Linked DNA regions of Oreochromis niloticus. The protein of the gene in region 1 purifies or fractionates together with the protein of each later gene. This does not show direct contact. Links are inferred from orthologs where the notes say so. Each region holds a gene or a part of one and is shown on either strand. Other genes may lie near its edges. The genes, in order: mark2b and tissue alpha-L-fucosidase.

Region 1 (15,867 bases):
TTAGGGCTTTTGTTTTTTTTTCCACCTTAAAAATACAGGTTTAACTGGTAGAGCTCATTGGTACTGTATGAGTTTGACCCTGACTCTACAAAACTTGCACATGGAGCTCTAGAGCAGGTTATTTCTACAGATCAGGTTACTATGGAGATGTAACCCAGTAATGTAAGGCCAAAGTGAAGTCACTAAGCCCCAAATCCTGCTTGTAGTACACAGGATTCGGATGACAAACATCCAAGCGCTGGAATAGGGAATATAGTTGAATTAACTGACTTTGACATGGTTGTTGGTGACAGGCAGGCTGCTGTGTTTCAGAAACATGTTCTGAGTGATGATCGTGTCTGGCTACTCTCGACAGAACATGACATGTCGTGTTTTCTTGCAGCTCCGTTGGCCAGCCCGTCAGGTCGCTGGGGTCAGACGTTATGTCCCATCGATGCTCAAACAGCAATTCTGATTGGAGGCCAGGGAGCCAGGATGCAGTTCTGCAAAGATCCCATGTGGAAGCTCTGCACAGGTCAGTCAGGTCAACAGCATTTTAGACTCTTGTTGATATTACAGCTCAGGTGAGAGCCGTGTTTAAGGGGACGTTCTGTGTGCAACAGAGGACATGTCCTGGGTGGCCGCGGAGACTCTGGCAGAGGGTCCGACCCCTGAGGCCAGGATCGGCCACACAGCCGTCTACGACCCCGACTCAAGAAGGATCTTTGTGTTCGGGGGCTCTAAAAACAAGAAGTGGTTCAATGACGTGCACATCCTGGACACGCAGAGCTGGAAGTGGACCATGGTAGAGGTGTGTGTTGATCTGTGTCCACACCCTGTGCTCACTTTATTTCTGTTTTTTTTTTTTAATGACTTCCTCCTGCTCTTCTTCTTCTTCAGGCTCAGGGTAAGGTTCCTCCCCTGGCCTACCACAGCTGCAGTATGTTTCAGGGTGAGCTATTCGTGCTGGGAGGGGTGTTTCCTCGGCCCAACCCAGAGCCCGATGACTGTAGCGACTCTCTGTATATCTTCGACCCCCGCCTCTCCATCTGGTACCAGCCCATCGTCACCGGAGACAAACCCTCCCCCCGCTCAGGGTAACATGGCTCAGTCCAAAGCTTTATTTAACGCACACTTTCTAACTTTTTTCTTTTTAAATATAATTGCTCCATATTTTTAACCTCCTCTTTGTTTCTTTTTGTCTTGCAGTCATTCTGCATGCGTGATGCAGGAGAGGAAGATCTATGTGTTTGGTGGCTGGGACACTCCTGTATGCTACAATGACATGTACATGTTGGACCTTGGTGAGCAACACACACAAAGTACCTAAATCAGGGGAAACGTGTAACTACACATCCATGCTTGCATAATTCAAATGCAACGTGTTTATGTCTTAGGTCTGATGGAGTTTTCTGCAGTCAAAACAACTGGGAATCCCCCCTCTCCTCGAAGGTATCGCACATAACACTTCAAAATATTATGTGAGCGTGTGAGACGTCAGAGCTGAGTTCAGTGTGACGATGGATCTGATCGTGTTACGCGTGCTTTGATGAACGTGGGACGTTCAAACAGCTGATGGGCATCCTTTGGGGATCCAGCGTACTTTCTTCTGCGGGCAGCATGACCTTTGTGAGTCTTAAGGAGCAGGCGGCTGCGTGCTGGGAATCTTTTGTGCAGCGCTTTGTTATCTGCTGCAGAGCCGTTTGGGTACCGTGTCAGGATGCTGTGAGGATATTTTCAGTGGTGCAGAGGTAGAAAGACACCAGAAGGTTTTGAGGCTGATTTAATTTCATCAGTTCTCAGAAAACAGACTTTTTTTTTCCTAAATGAGGCAGTGCCTTCTGTGTGTCCATGGAAATCTTCTGTGATATGTGTTCCCAGGAACCCAAAACTAAAGACTCTTCACGTCCTCTCCATTTATGTTCAGTGACAGATGGTCATTCTGATTTCTCCTGAAACTAATGAACAGCTCTTTGTTTTGTTTTTTTGGTGTTCAGAGCCAAGTTGTTTTCAGTCTGTCAACTTCTTTGTGTCTCCTCCAGTGATCAGTTCTTTTTTTTTGTGTGTGTTGTCTGCAAACTTAATGGTGCCATTGTGTTGTGAGATGCTATTAAGGGCTCAAAACAGCCTGTGGTGCTCCTTTGGAGAGGATGGAGGGGTGGTGGGGGGACCCATCCTGATCAACTGTGGCCAGGTTCTCAAGAAAGCTAGAGTCAGTGGGCAGATGTTACGATGAAAGGGTCTAGAAGGGCTGACTGTGTTGAACGCTTGTGTTCCAGGTGGTATAGTATAGTGTGGTGTGGAGGACACTGTAAATGGCAACATCTGTTGACTTATTGGTTCTCTATAAATACTGATGTGGGTCCAGAGTAGGTGGGAGAGTGTGCTTGATGTATTTGAGGATCAGTCTCTTAGTGTTACAGCCTCTGGCCTGTACTTACCGAGGCAATTTACTACAAACTGTCTGGGAACATGTGCTATAATGGATGTCTTTACCCAGGTGGGGACATCGTGTACTGTGATGGGGAAAGACTGAAGATATTTGTGGATAGCTCGGTTAATTCCACACTTTAGCCTCTGAGACCAGCTGCTTTTCTTTTATGTAGGCGCAGCTGTATTATAAACATAACACAAGCAGTAACATTTAGGGACAAATGAAGGCTTTATGGAGACATTTACGTTCCTCAAATTAAGGTTTAATAAGATTTTAATAAGGCTGGAGATTAAAATGAGAGCAGAGATTGTTACAATATCGTCTGCAGTAATTTCGAGAACCTTTAAGCAACTTGAAATTAAATGTGAACATTGTGTGCTTGTGTGTTTCAGCTGGCACGGCAGCGCTGTGCTGTCAGACACAAAGTTCCTGATCCACGGTGGTTACAACGGAAACAATGCCCTCAGTGACGCCTTCATCTTTGATATAGGTGAGCAGAGGTTTGGATTCTGAAAAGTAGTCTTTTGTTGTTAATGACAGCGTCTGACTGATAGAGGATTTAAGATCAAGACAGAATTATTTTAGGGTTTTGGTAACGCAATTCCCAAACTAGGTAGGCTTATTCTACTGTTCCTGCACAGTCCATACTGTAAGTCCGGTTGGTTCTATGCCAAAAAAATATCTCTATTTAAAATAAAAGCACAGACATATAAACAATAAAGTAGCTTACATAAGTATGTCAAAGCGATTTTTGAGCAGCTTCTAGAATGTAAATTGAGCCTTTTTTACCAGGTATGATAAAAAAAAAAGAGTATTAAAAAAATTAAATTGACATTTTCTTGTTTATGTTAACAATGTGTTAACCGCCACCTTCACCTGACTGAGTTTATTCTGAACATAAAGTGTAAAAACGAGAATTAGCGGAAAAATAAAAATTTCATGCCTTTGTTTTGCTGTTTCAGACACCAACAGCTGGACAGAGGTGAGTGTGCCTGAGCTGTCTGTACCCAGGGCGGGGCACTCCATCATCACCATGGAGACGGCCGGTCACCGCTGCTTCTCGGAGGAAGATGAAGACGCGGCTATGAACGGCGGCAGAACCCTGCTGGTGTTCGGAGGCGGGGACAACGAGGGCAACTTCTACTCCGACCTGACGACTGTCGCCGTGGAGGAGCTGCTCGGTGCTATTTAAAGAGAGCGAGTCAGAGGTGAATACTCTCTGCCTCACTGGATGTAAAGCTATTTTAACACCCTCACCCTTTGTTATTTATAATCCTGTGGGGTTTTTTTCCTTTTCTGTTGAACGTCTCCTTTCTTCTTTCGCTTTAAAAGGTTTCACCAGTTTTATTTGATACATCTGAGCATCTAAAGAGAGACCTCAAAAGATCAATGTGTCGTGAAAAAAGGATTAAGAAAGAGATTTCTCTCATTATGGAGCTCCCACTCATAAAAACAATATCTGCTTTAAAGCAAAGGGAAGATTTGATGATGTAAATATGTTTGTTTTTCCTCAGGTACTTTTTTTAAAATGTTGGTTTATATTGATTGTGTTTTTTAAAAACTGAGGCTCTACTTTAGTTCAGAATATATATATTTTTTCTTGCAGATATATGTAAGTGCATTGCAGTTTTTTTACAATGTTTATTCCTTCTTTTGTTTGTATTTGTCATCATCTCCAAACTAGGGGGGGGGGATTTTCTATTCATGTCACTGGGCTGTACCATTTTGCTTTTCTGATTTTACTCAATACACATTAAAAGGTAATTATTGTTTAACTATTGTGTTTTCCCTTATTTTATGTTATTTTTTAATTGTGCATATACTGGTTCATCATACATACACCCAGCTTCAGATTTTGTTTTGTTTTTTTTACCTCTTGGATCAGTATGATGTCAGACAGAGCAGATATCCTTAATATGGTCATTATGGCAGAATGTCCCACCTACCTGCCATATAAAACTTCTTGCAGCCAGTGGAAGCTGGTTCAAAGGGAGGTATAATGGCTTGTATCAGACAGCGTATGAATTGATGGATGCACCTGACGCCCTACATAAAATAAACAAGGATTATTTTGAACTATGAATCATGCAAAGCTACTCTAGCAGAGTCCCAAGAATGAAAGTACGCAGCTGCATAATAACTCCTGTTTTAGCCATTTTTCTGCTCAATATTAATATTATATTAAGTTAAACCCAGTTACATATTATTTTCCACATGGATTGTACGTAGAGTAGACTCTGTACAGTCTATGCATTACTGCATGAGGAATACTTTATACAAAATCAAACCAACATCAATTAAAAGGGGTTTGACAGCTTTGAACAGAAAAGACTGTTCATGCTGCTGTGGTCACTTGACAGTAACACAAGCTAACGTGAGACCTGCAGCGTGACACTGTTATCTTCAGAGAACCAGAGCTAAATGGAGACTTTTTAATAAAAGATTAATGGAGCGTGGGAGGGATTAAGTTCATATCCGCTCGGTTCCTGATAACGGTGTCATGACTGTGGCTGTGTTTGAACTTTTTTCACTGGATTAAACAGGCAGCCCCACGTTGGGTAACTTGAGATTAACAGAGGTCAGTAAATACACACTTAATTTAAAACAGAGATTCGTTCTCACAGCACTAAGAAAGACTTCAGCGTGAGTCGTCATCATGGCCAACCTGCAAAAGAAATGCGATCCACATCATCCCCAGCTATTTAATGCAAAAGTTAGCAAACTTGCATGTTTATCTGATATGTGATGTATGGTGAACATGCCAGAGTCAGCTGATCCAGCCATAACGATAAGCTTTATCAAAAAGTACAGTTTGAAGCCTAATATTTAAAGTAGAGAGGCTGTCTGGATTCTGGTAGCTGAAGACTCCCTCCAATTCATGTTTTAGAAACTCTAGTCAGCCTGAATTCTCACAGTGAAGTGCTCTGTTTGTTTAACATGGTACTTTAGTCTTAACACCTCCAACTACCACATGCGACTTGAAAAACTAATATGTCAGTGATATCATCACAATTTCTAGTCCCTGTCGGGATTCTTGCTGCAGTGTTTTGGATCAACTGAAGGCTTTTCTGAGATCTTTTAGGGCAGAGGTGGGGAACTCCTTGAGGTGGCAGAGGTGGGTTTTAGAGATCACCCTGGGTCAACACACCTGAATCAAACTATTAGTTCATTACCGGGCCTCTGGAGAACTTCAAGGCATGTTGAGGATGTAATTTAGCCATTTAAATCAGCTGTGTTGGATCAAGGACACATCTAAAACCCGCAGGACACCGACCCATGAGGCCTGGAGTTCCCCACCCCTGTTTTAGGGAAACCTGATAAACAATTACATTAGTCCAGCCTAGAAGTAACACATAGAATAGCTTTTCAGCATCGTTGAGACAGGATGTTCTAGGACTGCTCCATGTACATCAAACCTTTAGCTAATGACCATCCAACTGAATATTTCAACAGGAAAATTCAGCTATATTTTATGTACAATTAAGACTTAAGTACTTTATAGATATCTTTGTCAAAGTGTCTCTTAAAAGGTGCCACATCTGCTGAGGGAGGCAGACATCTGCAATTTTTCTACCTTGAAAACTCAAAAACAAACTGGTCAGAATCGGTTGGAGGCCATCAAACTGCTTTCACCTACTCCATGGTATTTCCTGTGGCGATACAAAGGAAAGCCCGACTTCCTCGACATATTTTACTTCATACCTGTGGATATAAAACCGTCCTCACTTCATTATTTCACAGACTATTAGAAAAATAAAACGTGTTGCTATGCATCGTGCTTAATGGGCCACAAAACAAGTCTTTATTATGTTCATCATAACTAATGGTAATGTGCTTCAATCCGTTTATCTAATTACACGGTGTTGCACTTACTGCGATTAGAGTACAGTGTGTATAAAAAGCCTGGTTTTTGGCTTTGGTTCTTTCCGTACTACTTTTGCCCACGCTGCGAGTCAGCAGCTTCTAAATTGCTAAGGTTAAGGGCAGGATTTTCACCCAGCCGACTGCTGAAGAAGGAATGATGGTTCTAAGGGAATCACTAATTTGATGTTTGTGTCCTCCACTCTTTTCCTGGCTTCCTTGGAGTCGCTCCATTTGTTTTATAGCCACCCCTGTGATGCTTCATTAAATCTTCTACATGGTGGATAAGCAATATTACACTTTAATGGCCCACAGCACTCCAGCATGCATACCTTTACACTGAATACAGGTGTTAATTAGAACTATTTGAAACATATGTGTGGGTGTTAATAATGCTTGAATTTGTCCGAGAACAGGAGACTATGAAGTATGACACAAAACTGCAACATCAGTAGCTCCAAATAGATGCATGTCATGCATGGAGTGACTTGAGCCATGGGTTATATAACAGTGTTGAAATATCAAAATAAAGAAATAGTTAATAATTGCTTAAAAAATTTAATTTTTCTCATGCTCCAGTGGATTTAGACCAGTTCATATGTAACCATGTGAAAGAAAAAATAACTAAATAAGGGTGCTGCTTTAATCAGGTGCTGTAATAGTAAAGATCTGTATTTTTCCACTGACTTACACACACCCAGGCTGAGGTGGATTTCAGAGGGGAGTTGCTGAAAAGCAGAACTGCTGTAAAAGCCCGACGATCACAGAGTGCTCACGGTTTGTTGTTTTACGTGCTCTACTGGGAAAACTATTGACTGCATATCAAAAATAACTGTTACATATTACATCCTCAAAGCAGCCACATACATTTGGCACATGGAAATAGTAATTGGAGACTCAAAGGCTGATATATTTTATTTAATGTTCCTCCAGTGACACTTAAAATATGCTTAGATTAGTGCAATTCGGTCTGCGACTCAGCCTCCTACACAGAGTGTTGTTTCTTCTGTACAGCAGCCAGAAAATGTGTTTCAGTGCAAATGTGCATGAGATAGATAGATAGATAGATAGATAGATAGATAGATAGATAGATAGATGTAATATAAGGAGGCCTCCTGCAGATGGCGACACTTCAGCACATATTTGTCTGTAACCAGCATGACTCCTGTTAAAATGGCCCATGTACAGTCTAAAAAAAGACTGTGGTGTCACTGAGTTTACATATTTACTGTTTTGCTATAGCTTTCTGACATTTCCCCCCCCCCCAAACTGGCATCCCTCTACTTTGATCCACCATGAAACTGGACATGATCCAGATGATGTGACTCGGTCAGGTTTATGCACTGACTGAAAGGTGCAGTGATTCTGCATTAACAAGGTTCATTATTAAATATATAGAGGGTAGATTGATATGCTAAAAGCAGGCGGGTTTGTTTCCTGGAACATACCCAGTGCACATACCCTGGAGTGCTCTCCCTCCATCATCAGGGAGGTGATTTTTTTCCCCCTTGGTTTATCGGGAAATCCTGCCAGTTGGATGCTCTCCCAGTCGTCCCCAACAACCTTCTCATACCCGTTCATATCCTGAATTCTTCTTTTTTATTTTGCACAACATCCTCACATTGTTCAAATGCTGATTTGTTATTTTTTTTTCATATTGCACCTCTGCCGACCTCCCAGCTGACAGACTTGTGGCATCACTACTTCCAGTGGAAGTCATATTACCTTTGTCAGTCTATGGCTGTTGCTAAGTAACTTGAAAATGTCTGTACCTGCAGTCAGCATCTCACACTTTTAGATGGCATGAGTTTCTATTTACATGTTATTTTTACAGCTGTGGCTGCCAAGAGGTATTGTTCTCTAATTTGCTTAAAAAAAAATAATCTTCAAATGGATTTGAATATCAACCAAAGTATTATTGTTTTAGTCCAAAATATCAAATCCTAGCCAATAGGCTAGTTTTAGGCTTAAAGATTGAAGTGTTTATGTGCCCTCCATAAGTGTTGCACTGCACTGTAACAGTGTGCCTCAATAAATGAGTACTGGAATTCTTAGAGGTGTGATGGGAATAAACTAAACGTGTGACAGATGAAAGGAAACAGGGATGTGACTCAGTGGTAAAAATATCTGGCAACTCTTGTAGGTGTTGCCTGCAGAACTGGAGCTTCCAGAGACGAGCGGAAAGAGGCGTGTGTGCGTGTGTCCATAGGACTGTTTGCAGGTGAAATTAATCTGCGCAGACATAATGAGGAAATACTAGTTACTCACTGAACGAAAGTCCAGCTTCTCTTTGGCTTTACTGAAAGGGGGATCAGTGTTCATGGGACTACACGCATTCATGCTGTAGGCACTTCTCTGGGGTTTTTTTGGTAGTATCTGTAAAGAGCAGAAACTTCCTCCAATCAGCACATTTATAAGTATTGACCATTAAATGCAGATTAGTGTAGTAAAAAAGTGCAATCTCTCCCGCTGAAATGTAGTGGAGTAAATGTAAAGTCGCATAAATCCGACATACTCGAGTAAAGCTTCTCATGTTTGTAATTAAAGATAGTAGACTTACTTGGGTGGGTTAAATTCCATCACAGCTGGAAGCAGAAACATGCACACATTAACTTGTCAGGAGCGCTCTGTAAAAGACTTTGCCACAATATTAACAATGCAGGAGGCAAAGAGCCCGATAAAATATTCATCGGCATACTTAAATAAATCAATAAACCAAAAAAAAGAGGAAATGAACTGAAAGACCGGTGAACTTTTGCACCCCGGAGGCTCCAGGTTTCTCTCTTCCATTATGTCTGGAGTTGTAACAGAGCCTTCATTCCTGCAAAGTTGAGGAGGAGAACAATTACAGTCTCCCGCACCTGCCATTTACCAGCATGGAGGAATTGCGGTCATTCAGCGGTAAAGGCTCGGAAAAAATCGAGTGAAGCCGAACTCAGAACTCCCTCCCTCCCCTTTCAAGTCGTGGTGCAAGCAAGCAGCCATGTTGCCGCGAGCTTGTTCCGGTATGAGGGCAGGATCGTGCGCATAGACTGCATTCGGGCGCAGCTCCTCGCTTTTCTCCCCCCCTCCCCGTTGCCCGTGACACGCACCTCCGAGGAAGAAAAGCCCACTTTGCTGATAATGGATTTTACAACTTGATGATTCCTCCTTTGGTCGGCTGGTGACTGGAATATTAGTCGGTGTACCGACAGGACGAACTGGTAGATCGCCACACTGCAGTGCAGCACTGGTGAACGACCTTATTCCAATCACGCAACACAAGGAAGAGCGCCGGTGATTTCCGTGGATTTTGAGCTCTGTGGGTTGCTCTCTGGCAGTCACCGCCACTGCGGTCGCTGGGGAATAAGCTAACGAGCTAGCCTTACCTCAAAAGAAACCCTGAATTAGCTAGCTACATGGGCTAATGTCGACCAGTTAGCTAGCGCAACAAATTAATTTGTGATTCTCACCTGCCATGTGACCATTTTACAAGGTGCTGCTTTTATTTTTAGGATACCCTGGCCCCGGATAACTCACTGGGAATATTTGAATTTGCTTTGTGAGAGTTGGGAAGGTCGAGACCTCGCCGGGAAATAACTTTGGCCTGAAAGTTTGTAGACCTCGGAACTGGTTTGAAGACCTAAAAGGAAACATCTCTGCCACAAAAGGAGAAAGACAAACGGCGACACTGCGCGATGAAAACGACGCCGTGTCAACATTTGCTGTAGATTTTGGCAAGCGGTCATTGGTTCCTCAAACCTCAGTTGTCGACCTTACAAGTTGGCACGATAGCCACCTATCTGAACCTTGTCTTCTTTCAATACAACCATTGCCCAACTTTTTCTTCAGGCTAGCATAAGTAGCTAGCTGGTCAAAACGTCACAGCACCAGGTAGTTAGCTCGCGTCTTACATCCGTGCTATACCTCACTGTTCGCTATCGACGCAGATCAACTTGAACTGGGAACTGAATGCCTTCACACCCAGGCCGGAGCTGAAGAAAACATTAGTTTTCCCCATTTTCTGCTTGTTGACAAACATGAGACCTGCGGTTGCTGCTGCTAGCTAGTTTCGAGCTAGCTGGCTAACTCGGCTAGCCGCTGATGGTGGGATTCAACTTGTTGATTCACAGGCTGTCTGTCGCGCTGCTAGCTGGCTAGCACTGGACATCTGTTGGAGATTTTCCTCAGCTATCAACTACACAAGTTTTAAATGCTCAGCAGAGACTGACGAATCGTACTAGTTTCAAGGTTCCTTTTCCATTTTTTATTTTTATTTTTTGGCAACACAGACTCCTTCAAAAATGTCAACAAGGCCCCCACTGGTTCAAGTCATTGAAAATTCGACCGGGCAGGTAAGATATCCTTGTAAATTAATCTTAGAAATGTGATTATTTGTGATATTTGTCCACAAAATTACTTTAAGTTCTTATCTGCTGGGGAGAGAGGCCCTTGTTGGCCTTTTACAGGCTTTGGTTGTCTCTGGTTGCTTTTTTTTTTTCTCCTTCCTCTCCTGTGTCTCTGTTGTCTTTGCCACAGAGCAGTGATTCACCAGCTTGCCTACGCACTCACATTGGATTTCCCACTCCTTACAGGATAGCAGAGCAAATTTAGGTTTCTGTTTAGTCTGTGTTTAGGCATGTCCTCCCACTTGACTTTTTGTCACTTTTGACCTTCTGCAATACAGGCAATCATAAAGCTGAAAGTAAGTTTTCAACACATTACTTTATCACAAAGTTTGATGGAGACATATATATTTCTTTTTTATTTATTTATGCTAATTTGCAACTTACCTGTCCTTCTGGAAGAAAATTGTGGTGTTTGCTTGTTGCAGTCTTTATTTGGCTTAAATGTGTCACAGAGCTATCAGACAGAAGAAGTGGCATTTAAATGGAAATGAGAATTTGTATTTCAAATGAAAACTTGCAAGAAGGGTTGCGCTTGGATATATCCTCAGTTTATTGGCAATAAACTGTTAAGGAATGAGTCAAAAGCCCTTGTAGGTCATAGTTCAAAGGAAAAAAAGAAACTTGGATTGCAAGTAGGCCTATAGGGGGGTGATTGAAGGCACTCAGACTGTACAAACAATACACATCTTCTGACCTAGTAAAAGCCTGCTAACCCCCATCCATATGTGAAAGAGCTCCCCAAAAAAACCGAAATAAAAATTGAGATTCATCAGTTGCAGACGCTGTGCAGATATGGTTTCCCGCTTCAAGAACCCTGTTTTTTCTATACATTTGATTAGCAGTTCTTTGAGGTATGTGCTCCAAATCCATACTAGAAAGCTGAAGCTAAGCTTCCATATCTGCCGCATCTGTCTTAATCTTGCAGACAGTTTTATCTTTCCATTATGAGAAAGCCGCATTTGCTCACATGAAAGCTATTATAGTTTCTAGTGAAGAGTGTGACTCGGGCAGTCCATGTTCAGCATCACGTGGTATTTGCCTCATTAAAATCTCTGAATGTTTGATGGGAAAAGAAAATTGTCTAGGTATTGACAGTGTAGCCACTGGATGATGTCAGCAAGCGTTTGAAGCTAAACCCGCTTTGCGGTGCTGCCCTACGAATGCATCTGTGGTGAGGATTTGCTTTTAGCAGCTGATCAGCAATTTTGACGAGTGTGGGAACTTAAATAGAACTATTGTTTCTGACGTGCAAAGTATTTTTAATGAAACCTTTGTGAAAAATTAGATGTGTGGCTTTGTAACACAAAAGAAACACAATAAGGGGAGTGCTAGAGTGCACTCTGTCAAGCTAAATAGAAACGACGAAAACCCCAAACTTCAGTGTGAACTGCTGATGCATGGCTCTACCAAAATACAGAACTTATTTTATCAGCCAATAGGAGTGTGTCTTGGTAGTAAACACTGAAGGGTTCAAAGATATTTTTTTCTGTCTTTACTTCCCATAAAAGCAAAAATGCTGACATAAGTTTGCCAGTAGATACAATGCACGTGTACCACTGCCTGTCGCCACTTCTGTTAAACCACTTTTTTTTCTTACACATGCAGTGCAGCTGCAAACAACTTCTTCTACTTATTACCTGATGGACATACGTGCAAGAATGCAAATGTCTGATCAGACAAACTGTCTTTAACTTACCAGCTTCCTAATGAGTCCACATGATCAGTCAGATTTCACCCAAACAAAAACTTTTAGACTTTTTCACCTTTATTTTTTGAGTTGTCGTTTAAAAACAGCGTCAGGATGTAAAGAAAAGTGGACATAAGCTTATATTCATATGTAGGCAAATAAGTAGACACGGTGACAATGAGACATGCGTACACAGCTACACCCTTATGAGAACAAAGGTCAGCAGTAATGCAGTAGAGTCATCCACTGTAGCTGCCTTTTGCGTACAGTACAAACAGACAGGGCATTTCCATCTCCAGTGGGATCTTAAAAGTTGACGTCATAGTGAAAGCTGGGCACTTTTGGACATGTTGCTGTAAGACAGACACGTACGAAGTCATGAGCAGAAGCTTCCTCACTGTGTTCAGTGTGACAGCCTCTGCACAGGACCTTGGCGAAAGAGAAGCGGTCGATTAAAACGTCAGACCTGGCTCCACTTTAGTCAGGTCTAGAATGGACAATCAAACATTGTCCATTCTGATAGGCAAATACTTGAAAGCAGACATAACCGGCAGAATATGGAGCAGTGTTTAGTTTGTAGCACAGGACACACAAAGCAGGAAGGGAGATAAGTGCTCCTGTGATATCTTGTCAGGCTCATAAGAGTGTAATACCTAACTGCGGTACCTTGGCGATTAATAACCCCTCAAACTGAACTTGTTGTCGGACGCTGTTTGTGCGGCCTTGACCTTATGTCGGTTTGAAATAATCCCGCTGTTGTTCTGAATGCGTCCATTCTCGTCCCACAGCATCCAGTGAGGATTTAGGGGTGGATTTGAGGGGTAAAAAAAAGAGAAAAGTTTGGGGTCATGGCAAATTCTTAACTAGGTTTATAGGCAAAAGGCCATGGATGAATACTCCCACACAAGTCCAGTCTGTCTTTAAAGGCCATGTATAGAAAGCCTTTGGTGTCAGGTCTCAAGATACGGGACAAAATGGCACCGGGCATGAGGACGGGCTGAGTGTTGACGAGTCTCTCTGTGCCCGTCAGAGATTTAAGTGTAGGTTTTGATCCTTTCAACCCACGAGCAGGTTATGATCCGCTTGTATCTGCTAAAGACGGCTTGATTGCAGTGGTTTGTTTTAATATTTTGAGGGACCCTAATTGGGAGCTGCTTTACTTGGCTTCAGAGTTTGCAAGCTTTTCTTTTCTTTTTTTCCTTCTTTACACATGACTGCCAGCTAATCTGTGAGTTAATGGTTCTACAGGTCTGGGGGGATTGTGGAGTAAAGTTACTGACCAACACAGTTTTCCATTCAGTCATCATGAACACTTGCTGCGCACGTATAATTAGAGAGCTGTCAAATACAGAGAAGTGACTTATGACATCTTTCTGACAGTGTGAAATGGCAGATATGTTGAGTGGCTTTGATCGTACACGTTCCCACGTTGTGCAAGGCTTCAGGCCTGCCGTTAGTTTGAGGAACTTATTTGTGTGTTCCACATGAGTATAACAACACTTCAGTGTTAAACAACAGGATAAATGCATGTTTATTACATGTTGGGTTGTATTTTTGTGTTTAAACTACCTGGTGTTAAAATATCACATGAGTGCAGTTTGAAATAGGTTTTGGCACAAGTCATCTTGTTAACAAGTTTGCACAGTTTGTCCACTTCCCTAGACATGATCACTCAATTGTCTGATTTCCTGTTTTACAGTGCTCTCCCTCTATTCATTAAGCCATGTCTTCTGACCCACTAATATAGCTAGAAATACTGGTATGGCTCTTCAGGTCTGTCAGTTCATCCTTCTTTGTTTGGATGGTTGCACACTGTGCCGGATCTTCCGCACATTATAGAGCCAAGCTATTAATTTGTCAAAGTTGAAACATTTCCTCATTGGGTCATTGGGAGAAAATGTAAAACTAACTAAACTAGATTTGGAAGTGGCGTTAGAGGTTTTATTGAGTTTTCATGAGGTTTATTTACGCAAGTCTTTATTCCCAAAGGACTTACAACAAGGAACAAGGAAATAAAGCACAATAGGAGATAAAGCACTTGCCCACCTCCAGCCAGATGTACTAAACAGTACATGCAGATGTTACTTCCTCACTCACACACTCTTATTAAAATCATTATAAAATGTGTGGGGAGAATTTCCTCACCTTCAGATCAGACATAAACATGTTTTGTGTAGCTCACTGTGGTTGATATGAGGTGGTGGGCAGACACAATGGGATGGAACATAGTGATCTAGTTTTCTGTTTATTTGTTGTGTAACTCCACTTTTGCACTGGCTTTTTCTACTTTTGCTCCCAAAAGAATTTAAACTTGTTGTTTTTTTTGTTTTTTGTTTTTTTCAAGCAAAAAAAAAAAGGAATAAACAACAAGATAAGCAAACAAATATCTGTATTGCTCTGGGGCGCACAGCTATTTTTAAAAATGGTATCAGTACAGAATATCATCATCGGCGTATCGGTTTCTTTTCTTGTCGTGTACACGGGACTATGGAAAATTTCAAACTTCAGGCATGTTCATATGCTTTATCTTAAACAGCTATTAATGACAAATGCAGTTCGTAAGCCTTTTTATGAACCGTCATTTCTCCTGTCATACCGCCTTTGTCAAGTGTGTTTCAGTGCTGGGTTAATCATTGAGCATCCTTCTGACATTTAGTGTGATTGAGACTGGTGCAACGTCAGTTGAAAACGCGCTTGTTTGGATCAGACTGATTGGAGTTCACCGAATTAGTGAATGATTGAAGGCCGTCGACCACGTCTGGCATTGCTTTCAGTCTTGACAGCAGTGCCTTGAGCCTATGGTAATTGGTGAACTTGAGTGGATGGATATTAGCTTGACTGAGGGTTAAACTGTATTAGACAGTTACTTTTGACTGTTTTTAATACTTACTAACTATTCCAAGCAGGACAACTTTTTTTAACTACTTCAAAACAGTTTAAAAGGATCCTGATGAAAAGATGTGAGTGTAGCTCAGGTTTTGTAAACAAATCCCCCAAAATCTTATGGATAGTTTGATCCTTTTACCTGTGGAAACCATAATCAGCATGAACTTCATGGGGTTCCCAGCAATATATCTACAAAGCCGTTGTGGAACTCTCCAGGCTTAGGTTGGTCAGGGTTGCAGTTTAACCTGACATTGGTCAGTCCTTTGTCCTGGCAGACACCAGGTTACTTCTAGTTAGTGAGTGGAAAACGTAACTTTTGTACCAAAAACAGTCATTGAAATCAGTTTATTGATTTATACCAATGGTTAATATAACTTGAACTGTTACAGTTCATCAGCAGCAGTTTCTATTTTAGTTTGACCTTTGTAAACGCCACGAGAACTGAAACAGTGATGCTTGCAGATTCAAAATCTTGTTGAGCGTCACAACAGCAAACATGAAGGAAATAAGAGTAGAGCTGAGCACAGTTTGACGCTTTTCACTCGATACCTCGGGCGTATGAAAGAAGGCAAGAATGTCTTACCAAGCTGGGGAGCTGGAAATGTAATATAGATGAGAAAGAACCACTGAAC
Region 2 (16,066 bases), on another chromosome or scaffold:
AGAGACTGGAAAGGATCGTGGAGGCTAACAACCAGGCTACGATTGAGGAGATCCATGCCTTGTACAACAGCAGCGGGGTGGAGAAACCCATCTCACTGAGGACTGCCCAGCGGACCCTGAAGAGGCTGGGTTACAGCCGCAAGACGCAGGGAGAGGACGTCCTCATCGCGGCAGGGCTGGAAGCTTTAGCCGAGTACACATCCGGCCAAGAACACACGGACACCTCGACGGACATAAAATGTGAGGTGCAAAACGAGCCAAAGATCGAGTCCTCCACGACGGAGCTGGCGCGCAGTAAGGAGAATGACTTGGGGACATGAATGTAGTAGTAAAGACTGGATTAAACCATTCTGATGTCGCGATATTTCCAGAGTTGCCCACTGTAGAGCAGTTCGTTAAAAGCCTTCCCCCCAGTTTATGCCGATGTCTTACAAAATATACACCTTTGTTTTTCGAGCCAGATCAGGAGTTTTATTTCGGTGTAATCAGATGTGCAAAAAACATTTTCCTCAGCGAATTCAGTCACTTTCAAAACCATTAACAAGAAAAATGCATCCAGATGTTGGACACTTTTATTTGTCCCTCATCTTAACAGCTGTCAGATATTCTGTCTATACGAAACAGAAAGTTGGATGTTAAAATAAAAATGGTAAAATTCGTTCAAATTGCCAAAATAACCATTAATATATTAAAGATAGATGCTTTATTTTCCCCATTGTGAAATTTGACCTGGACTGTAGAAAACTAGACCCATAAACACAGCACCAGCAGATACAGACACATTTATTGACAGCAGGCATCGCTCAGAGTGCCGTGTAGCCTCAGCTCATTTTAGGCTAACATTTAAAAGTCTCCACAGAGGAACAAAGGAGATTTGATTCATGCTGTTAAAGTCTAAACTACCTGGCTGTTGGTAACAACTCATACTGAGAGTACAGGATGAGGGAAGGATCACAGATGACTCACTCTGCTTGTTTAACTACTCACTGGTCAACAAACAATCTGAAGACTATAACGATCGCTCTAATCAATCATTGTTATCACAGTCTCAACCAAGCACGTTAACTCTCCTGAACCATGGACATTTTCACATTTGAAATAAGGCGATCGCTGTCAGGGTTTGCACTGTCATTACTAGAGCAAACACCATTTCAGTCAACTATAAAAATTCCCATAAGCAGCGGCTTATGGGAAAAGTCTTTGCAAATGCCAAATATGATTTAAAGTGGTGCTATTTATTTAAAGCTTTAACAAATCAGAAGGAGTCGTGTGCTTTATTACATTTTAACATACTTAACTTAGATTAAACTTGGACTGAGGTAATCCACAGCCCAGTATGTTCACTGCAGCTGTAACGTGAGCACCCTGAGGTAGCATATCAGGGAAGTTTGCTATAATAAAAATATTTTAAGTGGTCCTTCTTGAGTTTTTTTGTCATTAATAACAATTTACAAAATTCAGCCACAGCACCTCTTCAGTCGTTCCTTACACACAGCTGATCGAGCTAACTCTGATTACTGTCCCTGGAACTGAAAAATCAGAGTTAATCAACCCGGAGTTTAACATTAAACACTTTTTTTCCCAACCTGGCATCTGTGGTCATCCACTCTTGGGGTTGCACTTTGGCGTACGCTTGCATGTTTGTCTGTGAATAGTTTCGTCACCCTTGTGCAAGATGCTGTCACAAATCTGTCCTAAGAAGATTTGTGTTACAGCTGCAGTTCCCATCAGGGTGATTACTCACAAGTGTGTACAGTTACATCTTTATCTAAATGTATTTATTTATATAAAAATGAATTCAAACAGGTAGTAGGAGGTGGTTAGTTTGTGATATTATTCATTACTTTGACCTAAATTTACAGCTCTTGTATTGAAGTTTGCATATGACTGCGTTGCATTAGAGATTGATAGCCAATCCCCTGTGTTGTTTATGTTTTTGGAATAAAATTCACAAGGAAATGTGTCACTTTCTCTTGTATGTTGATTAGAGTGAAGATTTAAGATTAGGTGGGTCCCATGGGATCTTCTGTTTTCTAAGTTAGACCACAGCACTCTTAACTTTAGGAATGGATGCTTTAAATCATCACTGTAGTCTTTTCTTTTCTGAATTTTCTATAATTGCACAACTGAAAAAAAAGGAAAATGATTTTCTGTGTATTTTGTACATAAGAAAAACATGACTGTCAGGGTGGGATTCCTGAGCTTGCAGAGGACAGACAGTGTTTACTTAAATGTTTTGCTTTGTCCAAAAGGAAGAAAAAAGCATATTTGCATACTGAAAGTCTTTTGGGTATAAAGAGGCCACTCGAGGTATAAATGCAATAAATGTGGTGTAAAACTGTGGACATTTCCCAGATGCCTCTTCATCTCATTTATGATTGCATGTAGTTTTTTTTTCACAGTCCAGGAGTCACTTGTTAATATAGTGGTTTAAATGGACCTAGTTGACGAAGATATGCAACAAGTGCAAAACTAGTCTGTGGCGCACTCTAGTGGTTAGTCGGCTCAAATCTGTGCCAGCATGCTGTCTCAGGTTTTTGCTCTAAGTAAACAACTGCTTTTCTTCCTTTTACAGAGTAGTTGGTTATGTATTTAATGCACAAAATACATTATATAATGGCTAAAGTCTAATTAGCCATTACTCTGTAATATATGGCTAATCTCTTTAATTTGTGCCACCATTTCCTTAGCCATCATCTTCTTGCATGTAATTGTATAGCACTATTAAGGGTGTAATGACTAGAATACACCTGTGTGTATTATTCAGGATAAAATGAGTGAATTGTTTTTAGAGGCATGTGATAGCTTACGAGACTTATGGACCTGGTGCTGCTGAATTCTAAATTATTTGGAGCAGATTAACCAAAGAGACAATGATATATCTAAGAGGAAGAAGCTAAATTATAAATAGCGCGGGTCCTAGCATTGATCCCTGGGGGACCCCATCTGTAAAGGGCTGATATGGAGTGGGCAGTCTAGCCTTGAACAAATTGCTTTCTGTCAGCTATGTAGGATGTAAACCGTTTTAGTGCTCTGTCCTTGATTCCAGTGCTGCCCACTCGTAATAACAGAAGATGACAGATGGTATCGAAAGCAGCACTGAGGTCAAGGATGATGAGGATGGTGAGTAGGTCTGCATGTAAGGCAAGGACGAGGTCTCTGGTGACTTTCACAAAAGCCTTTTCCCTGGTGTGTCTGAATGGCTCCTTAAGTTATTATTAACTAAGGAAGCCTGGACCTGTGATGCTACAAGGCATGCTCCAGAATCTCAGAGTTAAATGGAAAGGTATACTTGCACATAAACCACTACATTGGACACTGATGTGTCACTCTATACCATGCTACCCCTTGGTCGTTTAATGTTACTATAGACGTGTTTCATTGTAATCATTGTTATTTAACTCTGTCATGCATGAATGAAGAAATCCTCAATCAGGATTTTTTTTCTTAAGTATTTTTATTTATCTTTTCATGCCTAAAGATGAATAAAAATACTTAAGAAAAAAATCCTGATTGAGGTTGTCATAAATCATGCATGAAAGGATTAAGTTTACTAATTACTTTTTACTAATCTTTTTGATTTTTTTTTTTGGTTACTTTTATTTCTTTTTGAAACAATACATAAACATTTTAAAAATTTAAATGAGAATTTGAATTAAAAATAATTAATTTACTGCAATGAATTTATTGGGCCATCAACTGCACGCTTTAAAAAAAGTGAACTGGCCTTTTTATTTAACTTTTTAATGTTTTGAAATTTTATTTTCTTCTAATAAAGACTTCACTAGTGAGGTCATTTCCTGCTGTTTCGATTTTGATACAATGCTCTCTATTGTATACAGACATTATGATGAAGCCATTCAAGTTTAACAGGATGGAGTTAATGAAGATTTCAGAACTGGTGAAAAAGGCCAGGAGTAATTGTTGGGTAAGTGACGTGAGCTGCTATAAGCAAAGAGAAGTTGACCTTTAGAGATATGACCACGTAGAGAAATTAAGTTTTTGAGAGGAACATGTTGCTGCATATTGCCGTTGCTCTTGCAGCAACGTCCAATATTACCAGGAACCAAATGTGCCACTTCACTCACTTCAACACAGGTTCTTGTTCTCACCATAGCAAAGATGCTGGCAGGTCAAAACTTGGAGTATCTCTTACACTGTTATGGAGCAACAATTAGAACTATCGCTTTATCATACGTCATTTAATTTTGAGCGATATAATTTTACTGCATTGTACTTTTTTTCCCGATAATAGAAACCTTCAAATGGGTTCAAACAGAGCACGACCAACACGTTCTACTCCAAACCTGACAGCCGTCTCTATCAACCGTTGACCATTATCACATACAAGGCTCCTAATATGAATAAGATAGCAAAGGTTTGGGCTGAAATGTGAAAAACTCATAATGGAAAGAGAATCAACATGAACCTCAAACTGAGATTTTGAATTCTAGCATTAGGCCACTTTGCTTTAATTTTTTGCTTCTTTTCTCCTGTCTTACAGCTCAATCTTTAACATCCTTTGTCCATAAGTCCCATATCCACCTCTGCAGGTGTCTTAACCATCTCTGCCTTGCCTCTCTATTTGTCACTTGGGCTTGCTGGCCTCAGAACCGATTACTGTCTAGAACAATGATCATCTGGTTTTTACCTATCCACGTGTGGTTTGTTCTCAAAACAACTACAAAAATACAGAGTTGTAACCAATGTTCCCTCTAATTTTTCATGTGTCTGAGTGAACACACAAACTCCCTGAGCGGTCCCTTGGACCACTGTGAGCAACATCAGACGTGTGCACTGTGGTCACGCCAGCATCTAATCCATCCAAGTTACATGGTTTATTAAAATAATCAAATTGCAGCATTTACATTTATGTTAGACTACTTTTAATTAACTGCTTTAGCCCACTTACAATGAAAATGTAAAAAAAATCTAGTCATTGACCTGTGCAGTATGTTAACACTATTGGAAGTAAAAATAACTTGAATTCCAATTTTGAAAACACAACTTTCTTTCTTTTTTTAAAAAAAGCTCTGACTTGTATTATGAGTCTGTAGTCTGGGAGAGTTCTGTAACTCTCTGTCTGCAAAATACAGTATATAATGACCAATGTTGGGCAATTAATTATATAGTTACTTCTTCAAAAAAGTAACTCAGTTTGGCAAACAACAAAGATTTTTGCAGCTATTTTTTTTTAATGCAGCCAAGGCGTTTTTAAATAAACATTTCAAACTATTTACAGAACAATCAGCTGTTCTGCATCAAATCTGATGCCACACAAATTATTTGTGCCACTCGAAAAAATAATTTCTGTCCCCTATGAGATAAAGGAGAACAACAGCCTGATACCTGCAGGCCTGACAACAGGAGATGTATCACTCCTGTAACACCTGTAACATTCAGTACTCGCCTCATTGTTCTGACACACACAGCAAAACTACACTACACACTAACTACACAAGATTTGCGCTAAACGTCGCAAATCTCTCACATATCAAAGCACCGCCGTCACTCCTAAAACTTCCCCCCGTTTCTTAACAACTAGATGCCACGTTGCCATATCATTTCTTGATTGGTCGACATGGTACTTTCTTGGACGAATAGGAAAGGGAGAGGGGGGTGGAGTTTGTTTTTGCTTTCGAGCCTTTTTTCTTATAAAACGCCGTTTTTACCGTTTCTTCCCGCAGTAAATATAAACAACGACAGTATTCAGGAAGAAAACCAATCATTGCATATTTTTTTTTATCACAACTCTGGTTTTAGTGGCCTATCAACACAATTTAAAAACTGGTATAAAGTCCACACATTTTCCGTCAATTGTTCCGTCTGTCCTGCTCACATCTCCAATGGTTGTACACGTTGTCATTAACGTGGCTTCACTCCACATCAGCCACGTCGCTTTGCTAGCTAAAACACCGGTGTCGGCACATAAGGACGCTGTCATAGCCTGTCAGCGACATTGATTAGCTGCTTATATACGAATGTAAATCGCATTATTGGCTGGACTTACGGGAGCAGCCAGTCACTCACTGACTAACACTGCAAAACAGAATTGTTAAAGTATTAATTTTAATTTCAATTCAGGTTAATTTTTTTTGTGCGCAACACAGATTTTCTGTGCGCAGAGACCGTGCCAGCAGTGCGCAATTGCGCACGTGTGCAGCTTAGGGGGAACATTGGTTGTAACTGAAATAACACATAACTTTTAAAGATAACTCCTACAGACCAAAAGTTGCTGGGTGATGCATAAAGACATAAAATTATGACGACTTGCAGAATCCTCTGGGTCACAGCTAGTTTAAACCACCTTTCTGATGAAGATGATGATGTTGAATGGGAGAGATGATTTGTCATAAAATCATCTTGTGAATTGGTGGATTAATTTGTGATCACTGTCTCTCACTCATTCAGGACGAGTCTGATGAGCTTTTTAAAGTTCTGCTGATTTTAGTTTACAAGTGTGTGTGTATGAACACGAGTTAGTTTTAGTGGTGGGCCTGGTGGTAGTATGGCTGCATAGCTGATTTTCCGGGGGACTTTATGCATATTTTAAGAGCAAAAATCGAAAAATCACCAAGGCAACTCAGGAGGGCGACAATAAGCCTTTATTCCAGCCCAATGTACCGAAAACCACCGAAGTAGAATGAGTATTTAGATCTGCAGCGCTTCTCACCGTTTGTGCACCATGGGCAAGTCTCGGGATTTAAGTGAGTTTCAGCGGGGTATGATAGTGGGAGCCCGAGACGGCGGGCTCAGCATCTCGCAAACAGTGAACCTGTTGGGTTTTTCAAAGACCGCGGTGTCTCGAGTTTACAGCGAATGGTGCCAGAAGCAGAAAACCTTCAGTCAGCGGGGACCGTGTGGACGGAAGCGGCTCGTGGACGAGAACGGAGAGAAGAGACTGGAAAGGCTGATGGAAGCCAACAGCGAGGCTACGATTGAGGAGATCCATGCCATGTACAACAGCAGCGGGGTGGAGAAGCCCATTTCACTTGCAACTGCCCGGCGGACCCTGAAGAGGCTGGGTTACAGCCGCAAGACGCAGGGAGAGGACGTCCTCATCGCGGCAGGGCTGGAAGCTTTAGCCGAGTACACATCCGGCCAAGAACACACGGACACCTCGACGGACATAAAGTGTGAGGTGCAAAACGAGCCACAGATCGAGTCCTCCACGACGGAGCTTGCGCGCAGTAACGAGAATGACTTGGAGACATGAATGTGGTAGTAAAGACTGAATTATTCCCATTCGGCATCCCGGTATTCCCAAAGAAAACTGTCCAATGTAGAGAAGTTCGTTATTAATGGTAAAGAAAATATGCCTTAGAAATATGTTTCCTCGAGTTTATTATTAAGTTTTTATGACTTGCAAAATTACACACTTTGTTTTGGAGCGAGATCGGGATTTTTATTTCTTTGTAATCAGATGTGCAGAGAACATCTTCCTCGGAAAATTCAGTCATCTTCAAAACCATTAAAAGCAATCTGCCTCCAGATGTTGGATACTCATATTTGTCCCTCACCTTAACATCTGTCAGGTGTTATGTCTATAAAATACAGGTTTTTTGCAAAACTAGAGCCATCAATACAGCACCACTCATATTGAGAACACACGAATAATGATGGATCACGATTGATTCACTTTGCTGGTTTCAGTACACATTGGTCAAAAACAATTTGAAGACTATTAATGATCGTTATGAGCCGTTATTGTTATTGCAGACAGAGACTGAAGTCACTTGAAGGAGTGACCACTGAAAACTCTTCGCCCAGAACGTTATTTTTAAAGCACTTTTTATGAAAACATTAAATAAATTAATACATGAATACATATACACACATTGAATTAAGTCAAAATTACTGAAGAAAAATAACGCAAAAAATAAAAGAATTGCCTTTCTGTAATTTCCTGATTAAGAATAAGTCAAGATATTCTTAGAGATTCCTTTAATTTCTTTAATAATGTCCAAAACAAAAAATTATATATGATTCAATATTCCCAAGAAAAAATGCTGCACAAATACCCAAATACGTATTTCTTTATTTTTACATGTGCAGGTGTCTTTTTGTTCTGGCCACCTGTTTCAATAAAGTTGTAACAAAAAAACCCAAGAAAAACTCAACCACGTGATAGTGGCTCCGAGTCATATGACGGAAATAAAACTGGCACAGTTTAGCGGAAAGGACCTAAAACGTCGCTGTTTTACCGAGCTGCCTGTGGGACATTTGGACTCCTGTTGTTCCGTTTCTGGACACACAGTCAGGGGAACTGTAAATGTGACGCTCCTTCAACATCCTCATTCGAGCAGCTGCAGGAGTTTGCGGGGAAGCTCACCTGTTATCATGCTAACCGTGTTTGTTGTTGTCGTTGCTCTTGTTTCTCAAACTGCGGCTCGCTACACCCCGGACTGGACGAGCCTGGACGCCAGGCCGTTGCCCTCATGGTACGACGAAGCCAAACTGGGAATTTTCATCCACTGGGGCGTGTTTTCTGTGCCCGGCTTTGGCAGCGAGTGGTTCTGGTGGCACTGGCAGGGCCAGCAGCCCCCGGACCAGAAATATGTGAACTACATGTCCCAGAACTACCCACCGGGCTTCACCTACCCGGAGTTTGCTCGTCAGTTTCACGCGCAGTTCTTCAATCCGGATGATTGGGCGGATATTTTCAAAGCTTCTGGTGCAAAGTGAGTGTTTCTCTTTAATATTGTATCGTCTTTTTGACCCTCGCCTTCTCTCAGTATACACATCATCATTATCATTATCATTATTAGTAGTAGTAGTAGTATTATTATTACACAGTACACGTACCCTGTGTTACTTGCACACCCTCGTCAATGCAGGTATGTGGTCCTGACTGCCAAACACCACGAAGGCTTTACTAACTGGGAGTCTCCAAACTCATGGAACTGGAATTCTGTTGATACTGGTCCTCACAGGGACCTGGTGGGAGACCTGGCAGAGGCAGTGCGCAACAGGTGAAAAACTTAAGTTACGATGTTAAAAAAAAAAGGTGGTTATTGTTGACAGATGGTATGACACTGATATGCAGAGAAGCCCAGTGAGTTTTAACCCACTGCCTTCCTCCTACAGAGCTTCCTGTATTTTCATATCGATCAGCCTGTTCAGAGCTCTTCATTTGTCAGTCAGGTGTCATTAACGATGCAGAAAAGCTTTAAAGCTTCATATTTGTGGAACTTACTTGTCATAAACTTCTTTACCAACAGATGATTGTTGGGTTAAGATGAATCATTAATAACGGTGCAGCCATGTGTATCAGTTGTAATTGTTGGTTAGATCAGATGTGTTCCCAAGTGATGTCATTTAAATTGCACGTATTGCCGTTTTTTTAATAAACGTCTGTAATTTCCCCTTTTAGGTCATTGCATTATGGACTCTACAATTCCTTGTATGAGTGGTTCCACCCTCTCTATCTCATTGACAAGAAGAATGGCTTCAAAACGCAGGAGTTTGTGCTGCAGAAACTACTTCCAGAGCTTTATAACATGGTTGTAAGGTCTGTGGTGCTTAAAATATTGCGTCAGCAATTTATACATGTATGCCAGCAGTATATTTAAACCTTTGCTCCCCTGTTGCCTTGGAGGTATCGACCTGAAGTCATCTGGTCTGACGGAGACTGGGAAGCACCTGACACCTACTGGAACTCTACCGAATTCTTGGCCTGGCTCTACAACGACAGCCCAGTTAAAGTGAGTGTCTTTATGACAAGGTAGTCATAGATTGTGCACTTGCTTTTATTTTGAAAGTTCAGATGCTGCAAAAAAGACATCCCCTGTGCTTCCTGGATTTTAGCTGTGGTGTATTGAACTGCAGGTAGCAAAAGTAGTCCTCATTCTTTTTCTTAGGATACCGTTGTGACTAATGACCGATGGGGAGCTGGCTGTGCCTGTAAACATGGCGGATACTACAACTGCGAGGACAAGTACACGCCGGGCCAGCTGCCCACACACAAGTGGGAGAAATGCACATCTGTGGATACTCTTTCCTGGGGTTACCGTCGAAACATGAAGATGAACGAACTTTTGCCATTGGCTGCGATTATCGAGGTGAGGATATGCACACAGATATTAGCTTCTGCATTTAAAGTTAACGTTGCTTTTATTTGTATATGGTTGTTATAGAATATCTTTAATCTTTGCTTGTGTGTACAGCCTTCAGGAAATACTCTTGTAATTATAATGGCTGTATTTAATCAATTAATCCAAGCCAAGTGTGCTGTCCTTTTGTTCTGTTGGTTTCTGATGGTTAGGCCATAATGGATCAGTCATCTTTTGCTTATCTGGACTGTAACACCGTTTTATTGCCTGCTTCCTCTTGTGTCTGCTGTTGCTTTGTTGCAGGATCTGGTCCGCACAGTGGCTTTTGGGGGTAACTACCTTCTGAATGTGGGTCCCACACCTGACGGGATGATCCCCCCTTTGTTTGAGGAGAGGCTAAGAGGTGTTGGAGACTGGCTGGAGGTCAACGGGCAGGCCATTTACTCTTCCAAACCCTGGAGGGTGCAGTCAGAAAACACCACTGTACCAGTTTGGTAAGAAAAAAGGGAGATGTGACTCAGATCACATCACTGTATTTTCACTGCATTTTCTTGACTCTCTAGATTCAAGATGAGTCTATCCACAATCTGTCAACTGTATGAGAGTTTTAGTGCAGTGGGAGAGCTAATCGGCTCTGAGGATTAGTGCAGGTTACGGGCAGATACAGACAGGATGAGTACTGTTGTACTTGGCAACACGTATGTTAAATAGCATGGTGTTTGTTTCAATGTGAGGAAGCTGAGAATTTTCACAGTAAAGTGCATAATAAAGCTAGCTATGATCACCTGTATTGATCTAGTTAGGCAATGAGTCTGTGTTACCTTGCTTAGTCCACCAGTCCTGGTGATTTTTACTTTGTTTGGTGCTGGTACTTTTGTATGCAGAAAAAAAACTCTGTAATGGTCTTCACTGTTCTAGGTATACATCTAAAGGGTTGACAGTCTATGCCATCCTAACAGCCAAACCCCCGATGAGCACAGTGAAACTGCTGGCACCCAAAACTTCGTCCATCACACAGGTAAAGAAACAATGCTGTCCATGTCGTACTCACAGTTGAAAAACATGAACTATTTTTTTTGATCTGTTTTTATCTCTTGTCCAGGTGTTCTTGGTGGGGAATCCTACACCTTTATCTTGGGCCCCAGTCAACCCCGGTGGTGGCCTTGTTGTCCTTTTGCCAGAGCTGCCTTACACTCCTGCTCAGGCATGGACGCTTGGACTGGACTTCGTGCAGTAAGCTACGAACGCCCAAAATGTTGAATTATTTCAAATGACTCGACTCAGGTTTTAATGATTGTAGATTAATGGGGAAACTCACTGTCTGTCTTGAAAGGAAAATACCCGTGTAATGAGTTTGTATCATTTCCAGAGTGAAAGAATGAAACACTCCTCCTCGGTGATCGCTTTGACGCTCTGAAGGCTTAAAGATTTACTGTCACTGTGTCTCAGTTGTGTTTGTTTTTTCATGAGCGCGTGTCTATGAATGAAAACGGGATTCTGCTGTTGAGCTTGTGGAGCTTTTCTGGCAGTTTCTCGGCTGAGTGCCGTTTCAGAAATGATTCATTATGCCAGCAGTTTGTTTTGAAAATGAGCAGATTGTATACAAAGCACTTATTTTTTCTACTTGCCTCCTTTTAAAATTGGTGGAATAAAAGATAACTTGATTCGTCTTCTAATTGTTCTGTTATTATTAAGCTTCCAATGCAGGGTCAGTCAGCAAGCAGGTATTTTAGGATTTGCTAAAAGCATAAATGGCACCTTCAATTTTTATTAATGCATCAGTGCCTCAGTTGACAGTAACAAACCTGCGGGGCATGATAATGTTATGACATCTGTACTAATGGATGACTGCGTTGATGTTCTAACCCCTGAAGTGCCACAGGAGGTCCTTATTCATATATAAGTAACCACTGACTGCTTTCAATTCCTAGGATGTGCGAATTGACAAAAATGTCCCCTGAATGTGTCAGTCTGACTTTCCACTTAACTGAGAAGTGAATGGCCACAGGGACTGAGCATTTGACAGAGAATGCCAGCGTTAAATTGTTTTTGTCCTCTCCTTTAGCCTTTCTTAATAGGTTTATCGGGTCTGCTTAGAATTTGCATTGTAAATCCTTCCAGGCGGTGACGGACGCGAGAAAAATGGAAAATCGGTTTGGAGAATCCTTATCATTGACCTCTACTTTGCATTTTAGCCGTGTGCTGTCGAGGTTAATACATCAATGCTGCAAAAAAGATGTGAATCTATAAAGTGATTTACCCTTGAGTTTAGTCTGAAATATTCATCATGAAAAAAGCTGTTTGTTTGTTTTTGTTTTTTTTAAACATGTAAAACTACTAAAAAGCTCAGAAAATGCATTCCATTTCCACTTTACCTTACTGGTATAGTCACACAAAGGGAAATTACACCACTGTCGAGACTATTGCGACAGTATGTAATGAACAGAGATAGGCAGTAATGTGTTACTGTAATCAGATTACTTTTTTCAAGTAACTAGTAAAGTAAGGGATATAATATAAGATAAACCTCCACTGGCCTCACTCCTGCTAAACAGGTGGAAATAGATTTAAGCGCAACAGGACTTAGTGCGGCTGAACCTTTCATTTTATTTATTTTTTGCGGTGTTTTACTTGCATCTATTTGAAAGAGTGAGTGTAAACACAAAACATTATTTTATTTTATATGCTGAAGTATGCAGATAACAGGTTTAAATGTTAAACAAATTTCTTCAAGTCAGAGAATGTTGCATATAATTACATTTTTGCTTGATGAATAAAGTTAGAAGATTAAAATTAATAAAACAATTTTTAAAAAGAGACTTTTTTATTTGATCCAATTTTATATCATGAAATATGCAGAAAAAATAGAATTGGGCTGAAAGGTCTATTGTTTATTACCTATTCAGGTTGTGTATCATGTAACTAAGTAATAAAGTAACTAATTACTTCTCAAAATAAGTAATCAGTAAAGTAACTAGATTATTGTCTTGGAGAAGTAATCAGTAATTACTTCTAACTAATAACTAATTACTATTTTCAAGTAACTTGACCAACACTGGTAATGAACTTATAAACTTCCTCTTGAAGTGGTTGCTTCGAAGATGGGCATCAGATCCACGAGCTACTCTGCTTTGTTTGTCTTTTACATACAGTATATATAAATAAAAATATATTAGTGGCAATTAATCCTCCCGTTATCACATTTGTATTCATGTCAGGTTCTTTTAAAACTTGTTGCTAAAGTTCTTTGGGAGTTTTCCCAGTAAGACACACATAATGTCTAGATTACTTTACATATAACTCCTACTTATTTGGTCATTAATCAGAAAAATCAACACACACAAAGAAGACGCAGCACCCACTCATTTACCTCGCTAAAATAGCTTTATAATAATCATATTAATAGTAATAATATTAGCCATTAGAAAATGTTTCGACAACGTTGACAGTGTTACATTCTGTGTTGGGGTAAACCACGTCACAGTGTGCCATCTCTCTGGGCTTTCAGCGCTATCAGGCGTGCTCCTTTCGACACATCCAGACCCACGAGTCATTACGAGATCCAGAAAATCAATTTGTATGTACAAAATGAGAAGCACAACACAACAAACAGAATCAGGATTTACACCGGGCATCGTCCTCCACTGCCGTCCAGCACGTGTTCGGATCGCTGTGTTCATGCACGTTGTGTATTCACTGGTGGCAATGTGAAAGTTCATATCTTATGGCATCTCTATTGCTATATGCTCCAGTCAATTCTTTTTCTTTATAGGATGAAAAACAAAAAACCCCCAAATAAAGCAAAACAAAATCATTTAATGTTTTAACTGTACAGTATGCTGTCTTGGCACTGAATCGAACGTGTATAAAACAAGTAAGCACGACAATAAAGCTGAGCTTAAAGACAGAAAAGCTTAATGTGTCAAACCCGTCTGATTTAGAAATCATGGTGAGACATGAAAGAGAAGGAGAAGAGGGGGCTATTGTGTTTTTTGCTACATTATAGAGTAGAACACAGAGAGTGGAGCATCTTATCAGTTTGAAGTCTGTGTTGCGTCTCTGTTGTGGCAGCGCTAAGAGTTCAGAGTGGAGTAAAAGCACACGGAGAAAGAAGGTCATAGGTCTGGGTCTTCTATTCGCTCCACCTGTTCAGTGCTTACTTTTCTCTCGGTGATCTCACCCCGCACGGGAGTGTCCATCCGTGATCCCAGAGAAAAATATCTTCCCAGAGTTATTGTCAGTTTCCTCTTCCTCTACTCCGTCTCCTTAGTAGCAGCGATTTATTTACTTTCTCGTTAGATATTAAACTTTTTTTTCTAGTTTTTGTTTCGTTATTGTACACAAGACTCATCCTTGAATATAGAACAATGTTTACCCCATGGCTGTGACTGACAACACCGTTTGTAATAATGGAAGGGATGGCAATTAATAACCATTTTAATGACAGCAATCATACTAATAATCATGACGCAATAACAATATGTGTAATATTGAGAAGAGCAACGTCTGTTGGTAACAGGTATTTACATTGTTGTAAACACGACGGTGGCAGGGTATCATTTTTGTTAATTACACAGTAATTGCTCAGTTTTCTCTGATCCGCATGGCTAGCCGTGTCTACTGTAAAGCGACATTACAGTGCTAATACGCACACATACAGAAGTACACCTCAGTGCTAAAGGCACATTGGAGTTTCAGTTAAACTTCTGCTTGGCGCTGAGCTGCTCTGGAGGCAGAGAGGAAGCAACAAAGAACATTTAAGGAAGCTTGCTTAACAATTAGGATCTTTTGATAATGCAAACATTTCTTTTATTAGATATGGACTCAGCTTTTCAGCAATAGTTGCTCAGTGTATTAAGACTATAATCACCTCTGTTAATTCCTTAGTCTGAACTTAAATTTCCAGCTAAACACGAGTACGTGAGAAGAATTGATGCAATCCAGCATGCTTATATGTAACTGCTAGCAGTCTCAGTAGGCTGGATCCACATTCTGTATGTAATAAATGTGTATAGCTTTGATCTTTTGATGATATATTGGGCCTTGATACAACCTGTCTGCTCATTTGTTTCAGCTAAAACTTGCTATAAACCAACTTTCCTCTGACTGGCCTTTTCTCACAAACAGAAGGGTTGAACTGAAGGTGGGCGGGGCTTCTGTGCTCACAGCCAAGAGCTGTGCACCTGAGATGGCTATATTAGGGATACCTGATGTCTTCTATATCCTACAGAGCCAAGAACAGAAAAACCATCAGAAACCAGTGCTTATTTCAGTTTTTGTTTTGTATAGCCTTTTGCCACTGTAACAGTTTATATAGGACCAAAACATGGAAACATATATTAGCCCCCACCCTTTTAAATAAGCTAAGTTTGATATATGAGTTTGAATAATGTTACAGCCTCCATATCTCTCTACACTGACCTTAATTTCCAGTGTTTTCCAATTCACTCTCCTGTATCCTAGCGCTGCTAATGCTAAGCAAACATTTCCTATTGCTGTTGGTTAAAAGTATTCAAATGCTGATAATTGTCTGAAAATGTTTTTTTTTTTCACACATTTGATCACCTTTAAATATTGCTGAGAATAATGACACAAACGAAATGTTTTTAGAAAATTGCCTCCTCTGCTTCTCGTAATTTGGGTTAATTCAGTGACTTAGCTTTTTCCTCCAGAGCAGCTCTGTCTCACAGAAATGTAAAATTAAAACTCAAATCTGCTGCTACTACACCCCTCCAGCTTCAGTCTGTTGCAGATGCACAGCACACAGCAAATGCACACACGTAGCACATCGGCTACGATCGCCTCCATCGCCAGCTCCTGCATGTTACCGCGCTCCGCTTTCCAGTCTCGGAGAATGGCTGAAAGAGAATCTGGGCTCAAATGACGTGTGATTTCCACACTTTCAGAGAATATTAACAACATTCCTGCAGGGCTGGTCTGGCGCTGTATGTTCAGGGTCTGTTGGTTGAGAATCCCCTGAGGACAGAGGCCTGGGTTGGGGATTGGAGACACTG

What was found.
Region 2: the proteins of mark2b (region 1) and tissue alpha-L-fucosidase purify together in Homo sapiens (affinity purification with mass spectrometry; 3 studies listed by BioGRID and IntAct, counting the BioPlex papers as one, with this or other methods). This does not show direct contact. The link is inferred for Oreochromis niloticus from reciprocal best matches to the Homo sapiens genes MARK2 and FUCA1.

What each region holds. Positions count from the first base shown.
Region 1 is NC_031967.2:9,974,709-9,990,575, forward strand, and holds the start of mark2b (serine/threonine-protein kinase MARK2), read left to right. Parts: upstream 1-9,280; 5' UTR 9,281-10,557; coding exon 10,558-10,608; intron 10,609-15,867. Other genes in the region: krcp (kelch repeat-containing protein), read left to right, coding at 383-514, 603-790, 880-1,076, 1,189-1,283, 1,377-1,431, 2,806-2,903, 3,376-3,605. UniProt on the Homo sapiens protein: Serine/threonine-protein kinase. Involved in cell polarity and microtubule dynamics regulation. Phosphorylates CRTC2/TORC2, DCX, HDAC7, KIF13B, MAP2, MAP4 and RAB11FIP2. Phosphorylates the microtubule-associated protein MAPT/TAU.
Region 2 is NC_031985.2:27,696,862-27,712,927, reverse strand, and holds tissue alpha-L-fucosidase, read left to right. Parts: upstream 1-8,117; 5' UTR 8,118-8,145; coding exon 8,146-8,681; intron 8,682-8,837; coding exon 8,838-8,972; intron 8,973-9,373; coding exon 9,374-9,511; intron 9,512-9,598; coding exon 9,599-9,704; intron 9,705-9,860; coding exon 9,861-10,061; intron 10,062-10,355; coding exon 10,356-10,546; intron 10,547-10,970; coding exon 10,971-11,070; intron 11,071-11,154; coding exon 11,155-11,289; 3' UTR 11,290-11,728; downstream 11,729-16,066. UniProt on the Homo sapiens protein: Alpha-L-fucosidase is responsible for hydrolyzing the alpha-1,6-linked fucose joined to the reducing-end N-acetylglucosamine of the carbohydrate moieties of glycoproteins.